2 linked regions of the Coturnix japonica genome follow. Each later gene encodes a partner of the first gene's protein in a complex. Links are inferred from orthologs where the notes say so. Each region holds a gene or a part of one and is shown on either strand. Other genes may lie near its edges.

Region 1 (3,464 bases):
GCAGATGTTTACATGTTGATGCACAAAGGCCACAATGAGAATAAATATCAATCAGTGTATGAAAATTGAAGTTGCTCCGGATTTCATTCATTCACAACAATAAACAGAGCATGCATGTTGCTATCTGTTCAACAGAGGTAGTTTGAATGCTTCCCTGGCTGTTAAATTACAGAAGTATCTGGAATTGTGTATAGGGGAAGAGATTATAACAACAGATAGCGTGTAGACTTGAATAGGTTGTATATGTAACTAGTTTCCAATTCATAATGAAATACAGGTATGTTATTGGTTGTTACTTGCCAGCAGTTGGGAAAGTAGAAGGTTTAGTATTTCAAACCCACGCTACAATGAATGATTCAACAGCCAGCCAAAGCTTCAACTCCATCATCTTCCATCACTCATTTACAGAGAATATCCAATGCCCTCTCAGTAGAAGACTGCTTTGAAGTCACAGACACATTCCTATTACAGTAATTATCCAGTACTACCGCATTCCTTTTCAGGTTATTTAAACCACAGTATTTGCAGAACAGAAGTATCACCTCTAGCTATCTCTGCTTGTTATCCTTTGATGCAAATGGTTTAAGTGTGTTGCTCCATGCCAGGTAAAAGGAATCCTCGTCCTGTTCTGGCTGTTTCCTCTCTGTCAGATCTGCAGCACAGCCCCCTGTCTCTGCTCAGCTGGGCACACTACCACGTCCAGACACAGTTTCCACTGAGAAATGTCAGCTACAGACAGTGTCAACTCATTCTATCTAGATAACTACGTTCAACTCTTGCTAAAACTGACACTGGAAGAAAAGAACTTTTAGGAGTTTGTATAAATGGGTAATTCAGGTTTCATATCTAATTTATTTGCCCTCTGTCAGTGATAAAGTCATGTTACAAACATTTGCTTTTTAGTACATTGCCTGGGATAACACAGCCGTGATTTTGCTACGTTAGCATTCCAAACTTCTTTGTCAAGCCAACCAACAAAGTAATGGACAAGACCTTTGGTTCACTTATATATTTATGAATGGAAAAAGTCATAATGTAAATTTACTTATTAAAAAAACTTGGGTACAAATTACACATACATAAGACCACCCATTTTTTTGATTCACATGGACACCTTAGACCCGAACAACTCATCGTAATAGACTTTAGTGAGAATACTCCAGGTAAAGATTACAACAATTGGAAGCATCTTGGATTTTTAAAAAAGTATATTTCAATACATAAGTTTGTATGCATGCTTTAAACAAATATAGTTCAAGAATGAGCAAAGAGTCTAAACAAAAAGTAACATGACCAGCACTAACATTAAACTTCTCATCCAGATTTTAATATGTTAGTCTAACGTAGTGTTAGTTACCATGCTGTACTGAAAAATGTAATGGCACAATCTGAATCATGGTTCATTAAATATTATACCCTACTTCCCCAGAATATTTAGGCTGGTCATAAAATTAACAATGCGTAAGTAAATAAGTATAACCAGTTATAGACAGTTGCTTGTTTTACAAATTGCCATCAGGTAAGACATACTGCCCCCAGAGACTCAGAGAGATGGACATTCAATCATACCATTAAAACAGTATGGCCTGAAGAAATGGGCACATTTTTTGGAAAGTATATTAAGACAATTCTGTTAGCTTTTAGTTACCCCTTGTAAATAATCATGGTATGACCGAGTACAAGACCCAACTTGGAAAAGCAATTTTAATCGGCATAGTGCATGATTGACTCAACATAATTCCCAGGAAACAAGCCGGTTACTCGATTGCAAACTCCTTCATACCAGCCGTCATCGTTCTTCTTTATCACATAAATGATTGCACCCTCCATAAACGACAGCTCGTCATCTTTGTCCTTTGTATAGTCATATATAGCAACAACTGTGGATTGAACAGGGAAAATGTTAGCACTATGTTAATAGCACCCCTCAGCATCATCATATTTTGTAAAGACTTGTTTGCCATCCTGGCATTTTCTGTTCTGAATTCACAGTTTTCCCATTCAACATCAAGTCCAGAAAGTGACTTCTCCCCTTTCTTGCAGTCCTGGCTGCCCATAAGCAGTGGGTGGTGACTGCACTAAATGCTCCTAAGCCTTCTGGCATGGGCTGGCTGGGGTGCTGTGCACCAGTGCATATGGCCACCTATAAGCTGGGTTATGCACTAGGTGGGCCTAGTGAATGTGGTGTTCATTTCTGCTCAGACTGCCCCAAAGGCATCGATCCCTGCATATCTTGATTAGAGAAAGCCTTAAAAAAAAAATCACTCTGCAGAAGAAGACCACTAGGAACATTTCTTACACAATAGCCCCTGCAACTATACCATGCCCTGCATGCAGTACAGCCAGCAGCAAGGACTGAACACAGCAGTTCCACCGCTGCTGCCAAGATGGTACCACAGACACATTGCATGCACATGACAGTACCAGCCAGGGCCTGAGAAAACTTGCAGCGTTGCTGTTGACAGACTGGTCACTGCCCTAAAAGAGACAGCTCCATGGGCAGGAAATCAGTCATTCGCGGGAAGAAATGTTTATTGTATGAGTTTATGTCTAAGCACATTTACAGTCTGCTGATGCAGACTCACTGGTATGTCTCACAGACTCACAGAACGGTTTGGGTTGGAAGGTACCTAAAGGCCCATCCAGTTCTAACCCCCTGCAATGTGTAGGGCTCCCACCCAGCAGCTCAGACTGCCCAGGGCCCCGTTCTATCCAGCCTTGAACACCTCCAGGGATGGGGCACCCCCTGCTCTCTGGGCAGCCACTGCCAGGGCCTCCCCATCCTCAAAGAAAATTTCCTCCAAATATCTAACCTAAATCTCCCCTTTCAGTTTAAAACCATCCCTCCTTGTCCTGTCACTGTCTCCATGGAAGGCCCACTACATTTCACAGCAAAAAGCTTCATGGTCTGCTCTCGCTGGCTTTTCAGCTGGATGGGGGATAAAACAGGACAGAGCATGGGCTTTCTGGGCTTTGTGCAGCGCTCTTTCTAGATGACTGCTCAGCAGCCCTGAGGTAGCCGCAGATGCAGTCCAGCAGCTTAGCAAAGATGAAAAGCCATCGGATTCATATCTGCTTCTCATAACTGTTTTGCTATATTTTTTTTATCCCTTTATTCTAGAATGCTTGAAGATATTTTATAATCCTTCTTTAAAAGGATTATGTTTTATCACATCAGGTGTAGCCACTGACAAACTAAGAACAGAACGCTTCGAGTTCTGACTAGCAGGGACAATGACTTTTCATCAGACCAAACTTAGTCATTCACCCCCTTCAGATACCATTAATCCCTGGTGCTGCAGGTACACAGTTGCAGCCCTTCCTACCTTTCTCTATGTAGTTCTTCGGCGCCCAGGCAGGATCTCCATCCGCGTAGGGATCGCTGTACTGCACAACAGCAGCCTCCTCGTCCTCATAGTCCACAGGGGGTGGGGGTGGAGGTGGGGGGGAGTCATCGAACATTG
Region 2 (4,485 bases), on another chromosome or scaffold:
CGTGCATGTGAAATGAGGAGGAAGGAGGCAGTAAAGCTGTGCAGATCTCAGCTGCAGAGAAAGCTAATCCCAGTCCAAAGGCATGCAGCGGGTTAGTGTGACAGAGCCCTGGTGAGATCCTGCAGATTTAGGCCGTCTTTGCAAAGCTCAGATATTCAAAGCTTCTCCATGGCTGCCTCAGCTGGACACAGTGAAGCACTGGGAGCCACATTGCAGCCAGGCTCCTTTGCTAGGAAGGTGCCCTGTGATATCTGCGTGGTGCAGGGAGGGAGCTGCATGCAGCCAGGTACCTGGAGGAGAGCAGGGCATGTGGGGGGATAATGAGCACCATCCCTTATCCGCATCCCTGTGGTCAGCGGTGCTTTAAATGAAGCTATTTAGACTCGGTGCTGCACAGCACTCGCAGCCAGCTGACCAAAGTCCTGCCCCCCTCCTTTACCTCTCTTACTTTGGAGGAAGAAATCCACTCCTCCTTCGTACGCTGAGCGTTGAGGGAATGCGAAGCAGGTTCAGTAGGCTGTGACAGCTCTGTCAAGTGAATAATCAGCCATGCCTGCTGCACCACAGTCTCTTTACAAAGATGCAAACATAAATCTTGTCAAACTTTCATATTCCAGTGAGTTTACCCTTCGTTACTATCACAGCTGGTAGCGCTCTGTATAAGCCGGCTGTGCAGTGCTATGGAATGCACGAGCTAAAGATGGAGAGACCTATTGAATCACACCGCCTGTCTTCCTGCCAGTGCGTGACAGAGATCATTCTGATTGTGAGTTGCACTTTTGCAACAGTCAAAGTAATGAGACCAAAAATGAATCTCTGCCTTTCCCCATCTAAAACTGCACGTGGAGCACTGAAGCGTATGCCAGATCCTGAATGGTAACTCAGGACTGATGCACTTAGACAGGTGAGGGAACACCAACCATCCCTGCTGCTTACGGGGCTAAGGACACCACGTGCAGTGCTCTTTGTGCTTGAAACATGCAGCTCAGCACCACAAACTTGGTATCTTCCCTTCTACTTGTTGCAGTTCCTGGTGAGATTTGGAACTGATTCTCGGTTCTCATTAACACAGAACCAAATTACAGCTCTGTGGGCTGTTGCTGGGAGGGGCAACAAATGATCACGTAGGTAAGTGTTCACTTCCTTTGGTCAAACAGGAGAGCTGGTGCTGATGGTGAGCACAGAGTGCTTGGTGAAACGTGGCTGCAGTGAGTGCAATCCAGCCCTTGGGTCTCCATGGCTGCAGTCCTCCCCATGAGGTTGGGGAGAGCTGGCTGGGCTTGTTAGCAGAGCATACGTGGAGTCAGTGCTGTCCAGGTGAGCCGAGGGAGGTCAGCTGCAGTTCACATCCAGCTTTTACCTTCTGCAGGCACTTGGAGCTGGCACTGCCACCAGAAAGGGTGGGGGAGGTTGATTTTTAACCTGCCTCGTTCTCCGTGCTTGGCAGTGTAAGGAGAACTGCGTGGCATTGTGAACGAGTCACTGATAACAGGGGGGGAATGAGCAACCTCTGCTATGGGTGTCAGCTCAGCCCTGCTGGAAGGCTTTGCACAGGCACTACCAGCTGCCATTGCTGTGCCTCGTGGAGGGGATCTTTCCCCTGTGACGTGCTGCAGACAGCCACATTTTCCAGCATTGCTGTTAAAGTCGGCCTTCCCACTGCTTATCCTTCCCTGAATGTCGGAGAGGATCTCTGGGACTAACAGATTCCAGAACAAACTGCTGACCGTGTGATGATGCACTTACAGAACCAGACGGCTCGTTGGGAGCAGCCTCGTGCTCAGCAGCCGTGCCTGGAAATGTTTCCCATCAATGGGAACTCGGTGGGTCTGGCTGCTGTCAGTGCCAAGTCTGTTCCCACCCCATCAGTGCTGTCCTCTGCGTGGTTATTTGGGGTTCCCACCCTCAGGTTATGCTGGAGAGCAGAGCACTAAGGACGTTGCTCCTTTTAGCTTCTTATTCTGTCAGTTCACCCATCTCTGTTCACCCGTGGTCATGTCTCCTTGCATATGTAGATTTTAAACTCTTCAGGACGGGGGGCTTCTTTTTGTTAGACTTGTAAGTGGTGCAGCAGGCTCCTGGTCCAAGCCCCGAGGCGCTCTCACCATCCAAACGATGGATGATGTTTGTCATCGCAGCTCACTGGGCAAGCCAAGCTGTTACAGAGAGAATATTCCTGTTGGAGAAGTTCCCTTTTGGTTTTGATTTAGAATAAACGTGAATGCATCAATTTTTCAGACACTGCCACCTGAAGGAACAAAAGGGTCAGTGCTTTTGTCTGCGGTTATAGCTCAGGCTTTAGGATCAAGGACTGGGTCTGCTCTCTGGTTCCAGAGCTCTTTGAGCTTGTAAATATGTGCCAGTTCCCCTGGAGGCGGGTCTGCTGGAGACCAGGAGCCTTTGAGCTTCTCCAGAGCAATAAAAGTCTGTGTTGTCTTGTCTAATAAACAGCAGCAGTGAATCTTAAAGGACCTGCAGACCCATCCGGATTCAGACCACTGTTACGTTGTCAGCCCTCTTTTTCATTACTCTAATACGGGCTTGAAAGCACGTCTCAATTGTTTCTTTGTGGCCCAGAGATCCCTCAGAAATGTCAGGTGTTGGTGGAAGGGAATGTTGTCTTTTTGGGTGTTGCACCCAACCCTGGTGTGGCTCATTCTTCTTTCTTTCTTTCTTTCTTTGAGAAGACAAAGTGGGAGTCGGCGTGTGGTTTGATGTGGCTGATGATGGTAACACGGTCACTTTAATACTGCAGGTAAATTTGCTGAGGACATATTTGGAGAGCTGTTCACTCAAGCCAACACTTTTGCCTCCCGGATGAGCGTTCTTGTCGAGAGAGTTGACCGCCTGCAAGTCAAAGTCACTCAGCTGGATCCCAAAGAGGAGGAAGGTAATGGAGTGCAGCACGGTCCCTGCAGACAAAGCGTGGTAAAGGTTCTCTTGGAGCCCGGCTGGTCCATGGCCCTACAATGAGCATGGTGCTATGGTTGGTGTTAATGTCTTCTCTTGGACTAAGAGGGACTGTTCTGTCCCTCCCAATGAAGCCCGGTGCTGCCATGTGAGCATCCATCTGGCTGGGGAGAGATTTCCTTGTTAGCAGTTCTCCATGTGGAAGCTCGTCCTTCAGCAGTTGGGTGCCCATAGACTTCCCAAGTCTTGGTTGCAGGGGTTTGAAACCACGCTGGCAGCTATTGAGCCGTGTCTGTACAGCAGCAGGTTTTGTCACAGCACTGTGTGAGATTTGCTGGGCTTCCCGAGAGATCTGTGGGAACAGGAACCTGAGCTTAAGGAGTGCTGAGCACGCCAAGAACTCCAGCTGAAATCAGATGTTTGCTGCTCGATCCTCAGTGCCGTTGGCCTGGGTCAAGCTGCTCTTCACTCGCTCTTTTCTCTTTCTTACAGTCTCCCTGCAAGGCATTAACACCAGGAAGGCCTTCAAAAGTTCTACAACTCAGGACCAGAAGCTCTTCGACAGAGATTCTTTGCCAGTGCCTGTCCTTGAAACCTATGGGACCTGCAATACTCCTCCACCTCTCAACATTCTTTCCCCTTACAGGTAACACCACAACACCTCCGTAGGCACTTGTTCCCTTACAGAGGAAGCTGCTTCCTCCCGTCCAGCCGAGGTCATTTCCCATCCCCTGCTGTACTGAAGTAGCCATCTTCAATAGGAAATAGAGTTGGAGATCCCCCAGGAAATCTCACGTGAAACTTTGCTTTTGAGGCTGTACAAATGAGCATAGCTAGAAAATTATACGTTTGGTTACCTGCTGTCACTTTTGTGACCGCCTTGGGGCAAGGCTTGCCTTGCACTGCATAAACACGCAAGGTATTGTGCAGGTGATGCATTTTTCTTATGCTTCACTGTAGCCCCGTGGCTTCTTTCCAGAAGGCTGCAGTGCAAATTGCAGAGCATCCATCTGTGTGTGGCTCTCACCCCAGTGGGCGCAGCAGGCTCCTGTAGGTCTGGGGATGCTTCCCATGGCCTCCCACGCCTGCACTGAGACATCCAATGTGACCTAGGTGGGCTGTGTGAGCCCTTCTCTCCTGCTGTGTCGTTCCATCTTGTCCATAGTAGAAGCAAAGGGGGTCAGAATGCAGAGACTTAGCCCACATCCATAAATATCTTCTGAACAGGTAAAAAGTAATTACAGATAGCTGGAGGCAGCTGTCTTCTGCCAGACGCAGCTGCACTGCAAAGTAGGAGAGTGAGTGTGTGTGCACACACGAGTTTCAAGGACGCTGCCGGTCTGATTTAGGGTTCCCAAGCTGGAGAAGATTTTTTCACACCAAAAATACAAGACAAACAAGTGGGAGTTGGAGTGAGAGACCTGCTGCTCTCCTGCTGGTTGCTCAGAGCAGCCGAGCTCTGAAATCCAGAGCGTGTGTGAGGGTGGAAGCGATGGCAAGGGGGAGTGCTGGGACAGGCGGCTGCTGCTGTGGGTCTGCTGCCTATTTTTGAATGGAGGACAGAGGTGAGAGCAG

What was found.
Region 2: ABI1 (region 1) and WASF2 share a complex: the UniProt entries of both Homo sapiens proteins name them as parts of the WAVE2 complex. The link is inferred for Coturnix japonica from reciprocal best matches to the Homo sapiens genes ABI1 and WASF2.

Annotation. Positions count from the first base shown.
Region 1 is NC_029517.1:14,562,563-14,566,026, reverse strand, and holds the end of ABI1 (abl interactor 1), read right to left. Parts: coding exon 3,327-3,464; intron 1,881-3,326; coding exon 1,705-1,880; 3' UTR 833-1,704; downstream 1-832. UniProt on the Homo sapiens protein: May act in negative regulation of cell growth and transformation by interacting with nonreceptor tyrosine kinases ABL1 and/or ABL2. May play a role in regulation of EGF-induced Erk pathway activation. Involved in cytoskeletal reorganization and EGFR signaling.
Region 2 is NC_029538.1:1,775,236-1,779,720, reverse strand, and holds part of WASF2 (wiskott-Aldrich syndrome protein family member 2), read left to right. Parts: intron 1-2,755; coding exon 2,756-2,890; intron 2,891-3,402; coding exon 3,403-3,556; intron 3,557-4,485. UniProt on the Homo sapiens protein: Downstream effector molecule involved in the transmission of signals from tyrosine kinase receptors and small GTPases to the actin cytoskeleton. Promotes formation of actin filaments. Part of the WAVE complex that regulates lamellipodia formation.